2 linked regions of the Oreochromis niloticus genome follow. The protein of the gene in region 1 purifies or fractionates together with the protein of each later gene. This does not show direct contact. Links are inferred from orthologs where the notes say so. Each region holds a gene or a part of one and is shown on either strand. Other genes may lie near its edges. The genes, in order: slc9a6a and mblac2.

The links.
Region 2: the proteins of slc9a6a (region 1) and mblac2 purify together in Homo sapiens (co-immunoprecipitation; 3 studies listed by BioGRID and IntAct, counting the BioPlex papers as one, with this or other methods). This does not show direct contact. The link is inferred for Oreochromis niloticus from reciprocal best matches to the Homo sapiens genes SLC9A6 and MBLAC2.

What each region holds. Positions count from the first base shown.
Region 1 is NC_031966.2:19,243,008-19,250,556, reverse strand, and holds the start of slc9a6a (sodium/hydrogen exchanger 6a), read right to left. Parts: upstream 3,144-7,549; 5' UTR 2,992-3,143; coding exon 2,700-2,991; intron 1,460-2,699; coding exon 1,260-1,459; intron 72-1,259; coding exon 1-71. Other genes in the region: taf7 (transcription initiation factor TFIID subunit 7), read left to right, coding at 4,108-4,126, 5,437-5,513, 5,609-5,687, 5,908-6,041, 6,223-6,343, 6,487-6,545, 7,024-7,096. UniProt on the Homo sapiens protein: Endosomal Na(+), K(+)/H(+) antiporter. Mediates the electroneutral exchange of endosomal luminal H(+) for a cytosolic Na(+) or K(+).
Region 2 is NC_031977.2:14,420,273-14,427,865, forward strand, and holds mblac2 (acyl-coenzyme A thioesterase MBLAC2), read right to left. Parts: upstream 3,357-7,593; 5' UTR 3,197-3,356; coding exon 2,755-3,196; intron 1,520-2,754; coding exon 1,305-1,519; intron 1,022-1,304; coding exon 848-1,021; 3' UTR 266-847; downstream 1-265. Other genes in the region: polr3g (DNA-directed RNA polymerase III subunit RPC7), read left to right, coding at 3,939-4,049, 4,788-4,917, 6,439-6,504, 6,585-6,644, 6,722-6,783, 6,864-6,980, 7,074-7,163. UniProt on the Homo sapiens protein: Acyl-CoA thioesterases are a group of enzymes that catalyze the hydrolysis of acyl-CoAs to the free fatty acid and coenzyme A (CoASH), providing the potential to regulate intracellular levels of acyl-CoAs, free fatty acids and CoASH.

The sequences.
Region 1 (7,549 bases):
AAGCTGTAGCCAGCATGGAAGATGATAGGCGGTAGGAGAATATTGAAGAACACTTCAGGGTCAAAGGTCACCTGAGTTATACAAAACACAGAACAAAATTGCCGATCTGCATCAAAAGAAAATTAACAAGTTGTTTTCATTAATATTTCTTTCTATGCTGTTGCATTTATGGATCGACTGAAATATTAATTAATCAAAAATGACACATCTGGGGCATCATGACACAGCTTCCAGGACAATAAACAAAAACCTACTATAAAAGTAACATGGTATGTCACAGAAAGAGGACAGCTTCTAGCCACATACATATACACATACTAAGGCTAATGCCAATTTTAGATGCTAAATCTAGAGCAGTGCTACATTCAAATCAGTATGTGGTTTCAATCTCTGACAATGGATTAGATGTATTCATGTTTGGAAAACAATCCTAAATTGCTGAGCGTGAGATTATGACTTAAAAAAATGAAACTTGTTCAGCAGATTGTTTACTTGTTTGGTGGTTAGAATAGCATCAAGAATACTGCTTGTATGTAATTGTGCAGCTGTTTAACCGACAAAGTACAAAGTGACAAACACACCCCAGCACATGACAACTGTAAAACAACTACTTTTATGGTTTCTTTTACATTCTGTATCACCAATAAAGGCATTCTGCCAGTTATTTTAACAGAGCATTTCATGCCCTGTTTAGTCTTCAAACAGATTTGATCTAGATGTACAGCTATTCTTTTAAATTTGAAATAGCTACTTAATGTTGATAATAAATAATTAGTATTACAGAAAGAGAATCACAAATCATTCAGCTCACAAAAAACTAAAACCACCATTTAATCCCATTACAAATTAACCTGACTATGATTTCTCTCTTGCATTGGTTAGTTATGCTGTATTTAAAATATCAGAAGGGAAACATGTGGGGTAGCTGGTTTTGTCTGATCATCAGTGCTTGCAGATTTAAACATCTGCTATCATTTCAGTGTAAAATAACTGACAATTATGTCTTCGCTGATGATTAAATCATCTGATTGCTCCAGCTCAGGGGTGGGGAATTAATCTTCTCAAGGGGATACAGGAGAAACTGGGACTCTTGTGGAGGGCTGTACCAATAACTTATACAGAGATAAAATTAATACTGAGTTCAATTTACTGGCACTGTCCTCCACAACAGTCCCAGTTTCTCACATAGTCCCTTAGGAAAATAATTACCCATCTCTGTAACACAATTTCTTGTATGTAGACATCACGACTGAGTATACCTTGCGCAGCATCTCATTGTCCTGCACGTCGTTCACTTCATTGGCATTGATCTCCCCTTTCAATGTGTACTCGTAGAACTTGCCGCTTACATTGACCAGCAGAGTGGCAGGGCTGGCATTGACCTGGCAATTCAAGGTGATGTTGCTAACATCCCGAGGAACATGAATGCCATAACGCAAAATCACTCCAACAATTAAGCCTGGGGAAAAATTAATAAAAACGAAAGACAAAAAAAAAAAAAAAACAGTAGAGAGAGAAGAATTGATTAATACAGGATTTTTAATGGTTTATGGCATGTTGCCACAAAAACGGATGGTGAGTGCAGTTTTAGGCTACCTGACACTACAGATGGTCTAAAATGTTTCAGTGGAATTAATTTGTAGAAAAAAAAAATTAAACAAAGGTCTAGTCTGAACATCACAGACGTACCTAACAGCTTTGGATCTCAAATTAAAGTCTTAACACATCCATGTGAAAATAAATTACCCTATCAGATAGTGTACCAGCAAATTAGAATTTCAATTAGTTTAGATTAGATTAGACCATATTGTCTCCAGTGGGAGAAATTTGTCTTGGTCAACGGAGGGGAATATGTCACACAAAATAAACATCACAACATGTCTTTAAATATCTCATGGAGAGAAAATTGAGGAAGGATGACAACCATCTTTCCAGCTATTTTGATCAAATTTTGATTTGTGATCTGATCTTGACTTAAAATGCTCAGATCAAACATCTGTTACTATGGTAGTAATGCATGGTTTGGTAACCATGTAGTAGACAGTAATGTCACAGCTAAAATAATAGCATAATGTTATTATCCATCCTATGGAGCCTTCATAAAAACTAAAAGTGAGTGATTTGTGAATGTTTACACTCTAAAAGCTCTGCACAGCCAAACAGAAATTATTAATTATCTGCTAGATATGGTTCTACGATGATTCTACAATGGCACGACCACTTCCTCTTCTACGGGTTGGAAGAATTCTAACAATACTCCTGAAATTCAATATACAGAAGTGGAAGCAAAGTCCAGTTCCACACTCATGATTGGCACTTGTCCAAATAATCACTTGTGACTTGCACGAAAAAGCAAAAACAAAAACAAAACAAAAACAAGTTATTTAAGAACTAAAATTCAGTAGGATTCATAAGACAGTATTTGTCGAAATTGCTTAGGTGCTCAGATGTAATTTTTAAGACTAAGCAGTGTAAAAGAGGCGTTCACTGTCGTTAAATTACGCTTGCTCAATCACAACACAAACTGGCACAGTCCTGCTGCATAAATCTGTTAAAATTCGCCCAAATGAAGTATGTCATTAACAGGGGCGAACTTATCAAGCGTGGTGTTGACATTCATCTGTTTAAAATCTAACTATTAGGACACAATGAGTGTAACAGCTCGGATGACGTCTCTCTGTCACGATGGACCATCTTACCATAAATCATTGCCAGCCCGGTTTCGTGGAGAAACCTGAACCGCCGATGTTTGAACAACCATATTGTCAGGATGGTGAGGGTGAGGAGCAGGATAAAGATCAGCAGGTCAGCGCTGTCTTGTCTGTGGCTCTCCTCAGCCTTTTTCTCTGTAACGATGTTCTCCATGGCACTGTCCTCCTGAGGTGATGATGCTCGGCAAACACTGATGCAAACAGGCAGGCTTACTAGCACGAGCAGCCACAGCGTCCTTGTTGCCCTCCGGGCACTGCTGACAGTCACTTTAAACACCATTTCGACTTTCGGCGGCCAAATGCTGCAACGTCGCCGAAGGTAAAAATAAACTTGTGCAAATATTATTCATAAACTGAGGGGAGTGGGCAACAGAAAGACGACAGCAAAAGAGAAACCAATTCCGGCCCGGAAGGGAAAAGTAATTTTTCCAGAAAGTGTAATTTTATGTTTCAAATTAAAAGCACACCACCGTACCGTGGGTGGTTAAAATCAACGCCTGTGGAAAAATTTAATGCCGCAAAAAGAATAAACCTTCTAAATAAACAAAAATGTCTATCTGGCAGTTTTCTTGGCAGTTTGCTTCTTATTAGCGATGATAGTTTTCCCCGAAATCTTTTATTATGAAATATTTGACGATAGCCGTGCTTACCGGGAAGTGAGTCCAACAGTCCTTTAGGCTATCGATTTGTGTTGTATTGAAAATAAATAAATAAAAATAAACCAGATATAATAACGAACTTAACATTTATTTTAGGTTACGGTTTAATTCTTAATAGAATAAGTTTAAATAAAAAATAGACGCATATTTCCTGTGGTATTTCCTCATTCCTACTTCCTTCCTACTTTTCTTTTACCTACAGACCATTTAGCATAACGATACGAACATCAAATAATAATTTTAAATATTTATAGATACATTTAACTATATTGCATAAAGAATATTCGTTATTTTTTGTTTTTCAAAAGTACTTTTGACAAGTCTCGTGATACGGATGGTTGCGTGTGACGTTCCGATTTATCGGAATTTTTTATTTTACTGTCATGCACTGAAAAACAAACTAATTTGCACTGTTAGTCCTTATTTAATAACATGGCAGTACAAAATATGCATATATATATATTATAATTACTTAATTATTAACTAAAATATGCCTAAATTTGTAATTTAATGCTCAGACATACGAGTTGTACAGCCAAGGTACAGAAAATACAAATTTCCGAGGAGGTATTGAAAGTGGCAAAGCCCTATACAACACTCTTGTTTTCGCTCGTGATTATGCTATCACCGTGTAGCTAAGAAGTCTCGTTTTTTTTTACTTAGAGTTGTCATGTTTATGCGTGTTTGCCATTGAAAGATATCTATACAGCTGCACCATCTAAACTTGAAAAACGACGATGACATCTAAACTGAAAGGTACGTTAAAATCCTCTGCCCTTATCCTTATGCTAAAGATAACTAGCTGTTAGCCTCTTAGCCTCCACTTTTGTAAGGTAAAGAAACATTTTTAGTTGTCGGTTATTAAGATGAAGCTGATAGTAACAATAATGGTGATGATGTAACAGAACATGTTGTCTGTGGCATATTTTAACAACTGTGTTCGCAAATTAGCGTTTGTCGTTCCTGTCTTTTGAACATTATGTATAATCTCCTATAGTGTTACTGGTCCACAGTGTGGTAGACATCACTAATGTAAAATGCACAAGTAACCTTTATTAGCAATAATTATCGGTGTTTTACTTTTGATGTAAAGACATTCGTGATAGAATTTGAAAAGAGATTCATAGTACATTTGGTAGGAACGTTGGTTATTTTTTCGTTCATTTATTCATTCATAGTATAATATAATAAACTAAATGTTATATTGAACTAACAATAACATTTGTTGGTTTGCATATACGCACTGTGAGAAATAAAAATGGTTTGGCTATTTACATTTTTAGCTTATTACATTGTAAGTTCCTTTTTTGTCAGCACTGAAATAAACTTTACTGTTGTAGGTACTTAAGATATTAATTAGTGTTTATATATTTCTAGTGTTGCTGCCCAGTGAAAACCTCATACCTTTAAAGACAATTTTCCACAAGTTTAAAAAAAAAAGCAAAACAAAGAACACTCAAAGTAAAATATTGCATATAAAATCACCAAACTTGGAGGTTTCTTTCCACAGGAAGAACATGAAAGACTATAAAGTGATCAGTAATTAAAGCTGTCAAACAATGTGGTGGAGTGTAGTGTTTGCCCCTGAAATATAATGTAGTAGAATTTTAAAGTTGCACAAAGAGCCCAGCTAAGGTACCAAAAATGCTTTAAATGGTCCACAGACCAGTCCATCTAGCAGATGATTCAGTTGAACTGAATTTATAATATAATATAATAAAATATAATACAGAGAAAGCCACAGCAATCAAACGAAATGCAATGAGTAAGCATTCAGTGGGAAAGGCAAAGGAAAAACTCCTTTTTAACAGGAAGAAACCTCCAGCAGAACCAGGCTTCAGGAGTGGCATCCATCTGACACTGTGAAAAAAGACACTGTGGAAGAGAGCCAGAGATTAATATATTAGACACTATATTACTTCTTACTTCAAAATAGGAAAAAATGAGTACCTAATGTACTGTATATTTTAATGTTAAAGTAGAATGACAAACTTTGTAGTTTGTCATCATATAGCAAGCAAGACATATTTTAACGCTTTCATTATGGTGATGTGTTTTGATTTTAGTTGGGAAGGTCGGTTCCAAGAGTAAGGAGGATGCCCCTTATGAGTTGGAGAGCCAGTTTGTCCTTAGGCTTCCTTCGGTGAGACGTTTGCACTTGCAGAAATTCATTGTTTGATGGAAATTCAGTTTTATCACCATACATATGATCTGGCTTCATTTTTCTTTCTTTTGCAGGAGTATGCCTCAACAGTAAGAAGGATTGCACAGTCTAGCAGTATGAACATGAAGGACAGACTCACCATTGAGTTGCACCGTAAGCTGCTCACAATCTTGGCACTGGTTTAATGTGTCTCACACTGTCTCCCTGTCTTGTTATTTATTTACAGTTGGGTCCAGAATTTTGAACATTGTACATATTTCTATAGCAGTTTCATTCTTTTTGTTATTTAAATGTAACAAGCATACTAATGGAACTAGTTAAAGAAATGTCACCCACATGTCCCTTAACAGTTATTTGTCCCTCTAATTTGTAGCTGATGGTCGTCATGGCATAGTTAGAGTAGACCGTGTTCCTTTGGCCTGCAAACTGGTTGATCTGCCCTGCATGATTGAGTCACTCAAAACGGTGGATAAGAAGACGTTTTACAAGACTGCAGATGTCTGCCAGGTAAGCAAGAGACTGGAAATAAATTTTTACAGTTTTCCATTATTTCATTGGTTTAAAATAAAAGTACATTTTGGATTTTAGATACATGTTATGTAAATTTATTTTCCACAGTTGTAGTGTAGTTGCAGTGCAGATTAATCAGCATAATATTTTGCATTCATTTTTCCCATCCACGGGTTAGATGCTCGTGTGTACACTAGATGGAGACCTTTACCCCCCTTTGGAAGAGCCAACTGGCACTGACCCTAAGACCAAAAAGAAGGATAAAGACAAGGACAAGAAATTTGTTTGGAATCACGGCAGTAAGTAATTATATACACACAGCAGCTTTTTGACTTGTTTATATTGAAAACTTGGCATATCAGCAGTTCAGGAAACATAATGTCCCCTCCTTGGGTAATAGACTGATTTTTGGCTTCACTAATCCCATTGTTTTGCTCTTTAGTCACCTGCCCTCTGAAGAACACGCGCAAGAGGAGATTTCGGAAGACTGCGAAAAAAAAGGTTCTGACATTTTTCATTTTCCCTACAGCAGTCCCCTCCCATGTCCCATCCATCTCCTTAGCATCTCGTTTGATGATCCATCTTTTTCCTAGGCTCTCTTCCAACAAGACATTTACATTTCATAAAACAGGAACTGTGGTAAAAGTGAAAACTAAGATTTACATATAAATAAAGCCTTTCCATCTTAGTTTTCCCCAAAGGCATGCAAAAAAGCTATTTCACTATTGCTTTGATCAAAGTGAAAGCGAGTGGAGCTGGAGCACTACACTTCTACTTTGTCTTCTGAATAAATCTTCCTGAAGGTGCAGAGCTGAGCCATATTGATTTGGCCCCTTCTGTTTTTAATCGCTAATGTACTTCCTGGCATGTGGCCAGCTGCTACCTTGGTGTGTGTGTGTGGGTAAGATAGAGACTGAGGAGGACGGCAAGAGAGATGCTGCTAATACTACAAGTAACTCGATCTCTCTGTCTTTTGCAGTACATTGAATCTCCTGATGTGGAAAAGGAAGTGAAGAGATTGCTGAGCACAGATGCTGAGGCTGTCAGCGTCCGTATCCTTTTTGACACCTAAACATTCTGCACGTCCATCCTAGGACAATAGTAATGGTGTATATAAACCATCAAAACAATAGTGTGTATTACATCTTTAAAAGTACTTCAGTAAGGCAGAATCAGCTGGCCATTACTTGTAACATGAAATTTACTCAGTTTTTCAGAAGCATCACATAATTAGCACTCTTTGTCTTTTAGGTCAAACATAATCTCTGTCTAATTTACCTTGTAAAATATGTTGAAGTTAGGCCCAACTGGCTTTCCTGACTCCTGCATGGTTACATGGCTCACCTGATTTGACTCTCTGATGCCTTTGCGAGAGAGATGCACTGTGCGAGGAAGCTATTAGTGCTTTAATGAAACCCTAAACTTGCCTGACAGAATAAGAGCATAGCGAGGCTGCCTTGAGTGGCTGCTTGCTGTGTGTTAATTGAGATGGACTGATCATTATC
Region 2 (7,593 bases), on another chromosome or scaffold:
GAAGGTTAAATCATCCTACTTTTCTTAACTTTTCAAACTAAAAGCCCCCCAAATTAAACCCTTTCCATGCATTGAGAGAGGTTTCCATCAGATTAGAAAATGACTTTAAGTTCTCTATCCTTTGAACAGGTGTTGGATCATATTCCATCCACCTCTGTTCTGCCCCTTTTTCTCTCTCTTGCAACAAATCCCATTTGAGTTCCCCCCTGGAGAAGCAAATCCACTTATAAGCTGCTGCAATCTGTGCTGCAAAAGACTCAAAAAGCAGGTAGAACAGAGACTTTTTATTGTCTATGTTTCGATAGCAAAGCTGTAGATTAGTCAATAGTACAAAGCACAATTACAAACATAGGAGGTAGTCGACACTGAGTCTTCACTGAGCATTGTAATATGCATAGAGAACACTATGGCCATAATGACTTTGTTTCAAATGTCTCAGAGGAAAACCCAAAGCGCCCTGTTCTGTTTGTAGTGCAGAGTTATGCTATTGTTGTGCTATTGTAACTTCACATATGCTTAAAGTATAAAAATCAAACACTGAATTATATTAACACCAACATATACATATTCATCAGCATATAAGACCAGTAAATATTTTTTATAATAGGCTTCATATGGTGCTGATTATTGACTTCTGTAACCCAGTAGGGGCATTTCACACAAAGTTTGGCAATTACTTGATTTTCAGCTGGATTACATAAGTAAATGGACAGCGTTACATTAAGTTGCAGATAAAACAGAGGTAACCCCGCCCCCACCCTTTCTGTCCTCACACTCTTCCATGTCCTCCATACTAAAACATCTCTCTTTGTGCACTTGCTTCCTGCAGCTCAATGACCCACTCTCATTAGCAGGCACACTGTGGGTTGCACACCCGCAGCGCCACCCCAGCCAGACTCCTCCAGGCAAACGTGGAGAACTTTGCAGGGCATGTTTCAGCTCTGCTGATGTACGTGGAGGCAAGCCGATGGAGCCGCTTCGCACCGAATGCATTGTAGTGCCCCGGGAGGACTTGGTCGACCTGTTAAATCCATTTTAAAGCCAATAAACATGTATTTTATTTAACAAATAATGTTTAGCACATGTTAAAGTATATTGTTTTAAGTATTAGCACAGAAAACACAGCTTGTATATGTAGGCTAATAGATACTGGTATGCCAAATTTCAGCAGAGCAACATGATATTTTCATTATAAATCTATGAAATGTTGATATAAGGTGCTTTGGGATAAATACCCCTGGAAAAAAAAAGTGGAACTGTGTACTGAAATTGTGAGGCTGCTCTCTAGTGGGCTTTAGAGTTACCTGTTCGCTGTCCACCAGCCCAACCAGGCGCTCACAGCTGCTGATGTAGTCACTGACGCGGCTGTAGGGCAGCCAGTCAATCATTGCGCCGTCATACACAACATCGCCACTGAAAAGCAACTTATTGTCCCGGTCATGAAGGCAAATGCTTCCCCGAGAGTGTCCGGGCATGTGAAGCACAGTCAGCTGTCTGTCACCAAGATTGATGACATCACCTAGGCAGGAGAAAGAGAGAGAGAGTGAAGGCATTAGGTTTTGATAATTATTCACACATACAAACGTGGCATGAACCGTAATCACCGGCCACTATGTATTTAAAATCTTAGACTTATATATAAGTGATAACTCATATTCTGGCTGACTCACGTCAGAGTTATGTTTGTGCTTTCCACATGTCACTGAGTCACACAGATTCTGTGACATTCAGTATATCATCGATTTGGTCGACGCCAGTTATGAGTTGCACTGGCAAAAAGGGTGAAGTTGATACATCAGGGAATGAGATATACCAGCTGCACTGCAGTAGTGGCTCTGACACAGCAGAACGAGTTACTCTACAACACTGCATTTTGCATTAAACCCCAACAGATACGGCGGCTCAGCAAATACATTATTTATGATATAAGCTTTGTGTATTATTATGTGTGCTATTCTGATGAATGTGTGCTTTATATAAAGACTCCAGTGACCAGTGCTTTCAAACAACGTATCCACTTTCAGATTTATCAAGTAGATTGATTCAGCTCGCCACCTGCTGATCTTTGACCCACTATAAAAAATTGTTTGAGAAAAGAGAAGACTGTGTGGTTGTTACTTCGCGCTGTGGGATGCTTTCATTAAGTGTGACACCAGTCTCTGTATGCTCTTTCTTGGAAGCAAGAGAATACATCAAAGCCATCACACTGGCTTAAAATAGAACAGCTCTGCAGATATAGAGAATGAGCATATAGTTGCTACCAATGGAGTTTTTGTTGTTGTTTTTTTAACCCATACACTTCTAATAGGGGGAAATTGTCTGTACCTGCATTCCTTGGATAGAATATCCTGTTTTGTGTAATGGGATAATTGCACCTGTGTAATCACCAGTCCTGGCCTCATGTTGCTGCATTGAACTGGTTCCTCTAGCCTACTTTGTAACTGTAAAAATTACTGGCAGACCGACCCCTTGTCTCATCCCCACTACCTCCATTACATATATAATATGTGTCGATGTGTGAGCTAGCAAGTCATTGTTGGTCTTCTGCCAAATCGCGGTGCAGAATCTGAGGCTGGAAACGACTCTGTAGAGCATACTGTGCTCACACTAGGCCTGGTGCATCCATCAAGCCCATTACTGTATCGATTATGGTGCTTGTCACTAAGTGAATGCTTTTAGACCTTGCTGGTATTTGAGCACAGATCCATCCCTCTAGCCTAAATCAAATCTGCAAGGGCTGTATTTCCTACCTACCCTCCTGCAGTATGTGTGTGGGCTGCACAGCCTTGACTTTGTAGTGCCTTGCCCTCCATCCCGGGCTGGGAGCCTCGGCTATCTCCCTGTCGCTGAGCCAAGTGACCGTCTCGAAGTTGTCTCCGTTGGCCAGGGCATCGACCTCCGCGCTGTGGACGCCCACCTGTTGGAACTGATGCAGACCACCGGAGTGGTCGAAGTGGGCGTGGGTGGCGATGGCAAGCAGCGGGTTTTTCCTCTGCGGGTCTTTTCCCAGCAGGCCTTTGGCGTCGATGTATTCAGGTAAGCTCCTTAAGCCCAGACCCGTGTCTATCACCACGTCCTGGTGTGTGCCGCGCAGCAACCAGATGTTGGCTCGGTTCTCCGACTGGTAGAATCGCTCCTGGATCCAGAAGATTCCGTCTCCGAGCGATTTGTGAGCGTACCAGTCGACTGCAGACATCCCAGTTCATTCGCTTGTCGAAGTAGGGTTCAGTATGGTGTCTTGCTGTCAGGTGATTTATTGGGGGGGAGAGGTGTAACTAGCCTTCTAGCTACAGATGATATGTTTTCATTGAGGTTAATGCGATGGTGGCCGCAGACACACCCTTGTAGGAGGACACTAAGCTCACTGGGCAAACCGATAAACGACGGCAGCTTAACGTGGGTTGCAATTGGCTATACGCAAACCACGCCTCCTCTGTCGTCACGCAGAGGAGGAGCGAGTTAAAGCCACATTTACGCATGCTGACAGTGGCGTATGGCGTGTGCAGGTTTCCAAAGCCGGTGCTAGCTAAGCAGTATAAAGTCTAAGCAGTATCTTCATTAGGTTCAGCTGAAATGTATGTGATTTTTAAGGAGTTGTCGAGGGACAGATAAAACCGGCCAGAGAGGTACATTAAAAAACTGAAACATGTGGATCCAGTAAGAGCTAAATATCGCTGTCCAGCTCTGAAGTAGACTTTGTGCTTTTTTACATTAGGCGCAGTATACTAACAGGCTTCTAGTAAGTATTTCGACATACTTTACACGTAGAGTGCGTCTCTGATGCTGACTAAAGCTTCATCGCTGGCAGAGTCACGCTAAAGGCGATGGAAGCTGTAGAACGTTAACTTTCATCAACACGTGTTGACTGGAGATATGTGGACGTGTGTGTGTGTGTGTGTGTGTGTGTGTGTGTGCAGGAACAGAGGAGACCTGCAGCCATGGCAGGCAAGGGTCGTGGAGTTGGTGCTTTTACCTTCAATATTGACGCTCTGGGCATCGGCAGGGGCAACATGCCAGAAGCCAGGGTGGGGCCCAGTCCTCTGTTTCCAGTAAGTACCGAACACAGTCGTTTACACACACACACACACACACACACACACACACACACACACACACACACACACACACACACACACACACACACACACACACACACACACCAGCAGGATGACAGATTGCATTTCAGTATAACAAATTCACCTCTAATGGTCAAACTTTACTGGAGCGACTTTGGGAGAGACCTTTTTGAGAGAGGTAGGTGAAATTTGCATGGAATTTGAATAGCAGACTATATACAGTGGAGGTTTACTTATAATAGGTTAAGGTTTATTCTTTGTAATAAAATTTACGAAACATTTTACTGCATTTGTATTTAAATGAAGGGAGATGAAAGTATATTTATCGTGCTCATGGCCAACATGTGTTTAAGAGTTATGACCCAATGAGTGTCTCTCACAGGGTTCACAAATAAGCACAAAGGGGGTAAAGGGCAATAATGTATGCGCTTATGTTAAATTCATGGCCAGGTTTTCTAATTTGGTCGTGTGTATTCCCAAAGAATATGGCAGATATTTACGTGCCTCTTGGATTCTGCCAGGATGCTTTATGGGGATTTTTTTTTTCTTTTAAACACAGTTTGGACTATGCTTACAATGTAGTATATTTTGACTATTCATACTTAAAATGTTGAACACCTTTACATGGCAGTCTGAATTTCAGTTAGATTTGAAATTTATTTGCACTTGAACATTATTAATATCGGCATTACATCATCCATACTTCTCCAGAGCACGGATTTTAAACCAGTTCCACTGAAAGCTGGCGAGGATGAGGACTATATGCTGGCCTTAAAACAAGAGATGAGGGGAACAATGCAACGGCTGCCATACAACATCAAACCTCAGTCCAATAAAGCAGGTGAGGAAGGCGGTGCATTAGAAACCTGACATCAGCTGAAATGACGCTGTAAGACAGTTGTCTGCTGTGGGGGAAGATAATGCAGCTTTTAGGAACAAAGACTTTCAGTTAAGGTCATATCTGGGAAACGGAGAGAGGCAGATTAATGACAGAATATTGAGTTACAGATGTCTCATCTTGCGAAACCACAGATTTCTTTTGTCTGGATTACTGGCCTTTCAAAACTCTCCTGTTCCACAGTTAGCTAAATGTAACCATGTAAAGAAGTCAGTGTATTTTATAGGGGGAAGGGGGGATTGCTTATTCAGCAGGGGGTCTGTGGTGAACATGACTATAGGGAAATTACCTATGAAAAGGAAGTGCACCCAGTTCTTCTGTGCAGAAGCAAATATACACACATCATGACCGATAAACAGAGAAGCAGCTGCTGCTTCATATCTACAGCCTCTTCAGCAAGACTCTCATCCCATGGTTGAGCACCACCTCCGCTGTCTTAGATAGCTGTTAGACATTGTACTCCATCCAAAACCTGCAGTAAAAAGAGAGCTGGTTCATGGGCTGTAGAGCAGAACAAATACTAAATGTCTTTTAGCTTGATGAGGCCAAGGCCTATTAACTTCTCATCAGTGATCATCATTGATTACAACTAGTCTGTCTTTGACAGGAAAAAAAGAAGGATTTGTTTGACAGGGCTCATTGGATTGACGCACAATGGGAGAGTTGAAGGAACTCTGTGAAGATCCAAGAAGGAGAATTGATAATTTACATAATTTGGGAAAGTCTATTTGAGCTATTTTAAACAATATCACATTCCAAGTTTTCAATTTTCTGGAAGAAGATCCGAACTGTTACCCTCGGATGAGAGAAAATTGGTTAGGATGTTCACGAACAACCGAAGAACAACCGGGTCTCAAGTCTACCGTGAAATCGAAACTACTCAAAGACCAGCCGCTGAAGCGAGTTTTAATTCTTTTGCCGACCACAAAAGAATACCCTGCTCCAAAATCAACAGCTTCAATTTCAACTGAAATTTGCAGCTAGATGGTTGAAACTTTGGACACAATTGGGTGTTCAAACAGGACAGTGTTCCCAAATACACATCAAAATTGGTTTTGGATTGGATAAAGCAGACTAACATTAAAATTCTGGCTTTTGCAAAACCACAGCCTCAATCTTATTGAAAATTTGTGGACTATGCTTAAAAGTCCGGTCCGTCTGGGTGGGCGGCATTTAGTGTTATCAGTCCTTTCATCCTTCAAGACCTGCCAAAATTAATCCAAGCTTCTGTAACAAATTCTTGTATTTTTTTGTTTTTTTTAAAGGCATTAAAGATGCATGCTGTACAGTCCTTCCACTCTATAAAAATATCATTTCAAAGAAATCATTAAAGCCCCAAATGACCATGACATTCATGCTACTGACTGTATGTAAACTTCTAGAGTAACACTGCAGTTTGTGTTGACGCATACTAGTCTAAATGTTTTTAAGAGTATGACCTTTCTTTTGTTTACTTGAAAACAGAAGTGGAGAGATACACCGAGAGATACCTGAAGCAAAGCCAGATTGACGACAATGAATGGACTCCAGGTACGTGCGTAACACATCATTATGGGATTAGGTGGAACACAAAAAAGAGGATGATGATAACATTTTTCTTGATATTTTAGACTGGAACCTTTTTCCAAAAGAACTGATGCCCAGAAGAAAACGACCTCAGGCTAAAACGGGTACATTAAATACAATATGTATGAAATCACATTTCTTGTTACTATAAGAATAAAGACCCAATGTTTAACTCCAACAGGCACAAAAAAAAGTGCGAAGATATCACGCAAGGACACAGAGAACATTCTGACCAAATTAGATGTAAGCTTCATTTAAATTTACTGTCAGTTCTCTCTCCACACCTTTGGTGTTTCACATGAGTAATTTGATATTAATGCCAGGAACTGGCAAACAAAGATGACCCTGAAAAATCAGATGAGGAGACTGAAAAGAAGCCGCGAAATGAGGATGAAGAGGAAATTGAAGAGGAAGAATATGAAGAGGAGGATATTGAAGAGGTGTGATTCCAAGATGTACTGCAAAATGTGTTACACATAACGATCAATATGTACAAACTAGATCTAACATTGCTTTCTCTTCGTTCTGTGTAGGAGAACGACTACATAGAAAGCTACTTCGACAACGGTGAAGATTTCGCTGCGGACAGTGACGATAATATGGATGGCGAAGCAACATACTGAGCGTCTCTCAAGCAAGGACGTGCTGAAGTTAAACATAATGTGACTGCTTCTTTTGGTTAAATATTGCACATAAGTTGGGAATGCTATTCAGTGTGGAGCGATGCCCTTTTTCTTTTTCTGATCAAGCTTTCGTTAAAGACTAATGTAAATAAGAAATGCTGAAATATGTGCACACGGCAATAATTTATTCAAAATAGATTTATTTATTCTTCATCCTGTAGACAAGTTTCACAGGTTGAAAGGCACATACTGTTAAGAACACAATGCTCTGTCATAGAATATCAACTGAACACAGTGAGAAAATAAAAGGGCTACATAACAAGTCTAAAAATTGTACATAATTACAAATGAGTTATTGTGGGAATATTGTGCATTTTCCTCACCATGCTCTTATTTATACTTTTGTTTCTTAATTACAAAAAAACCAAAC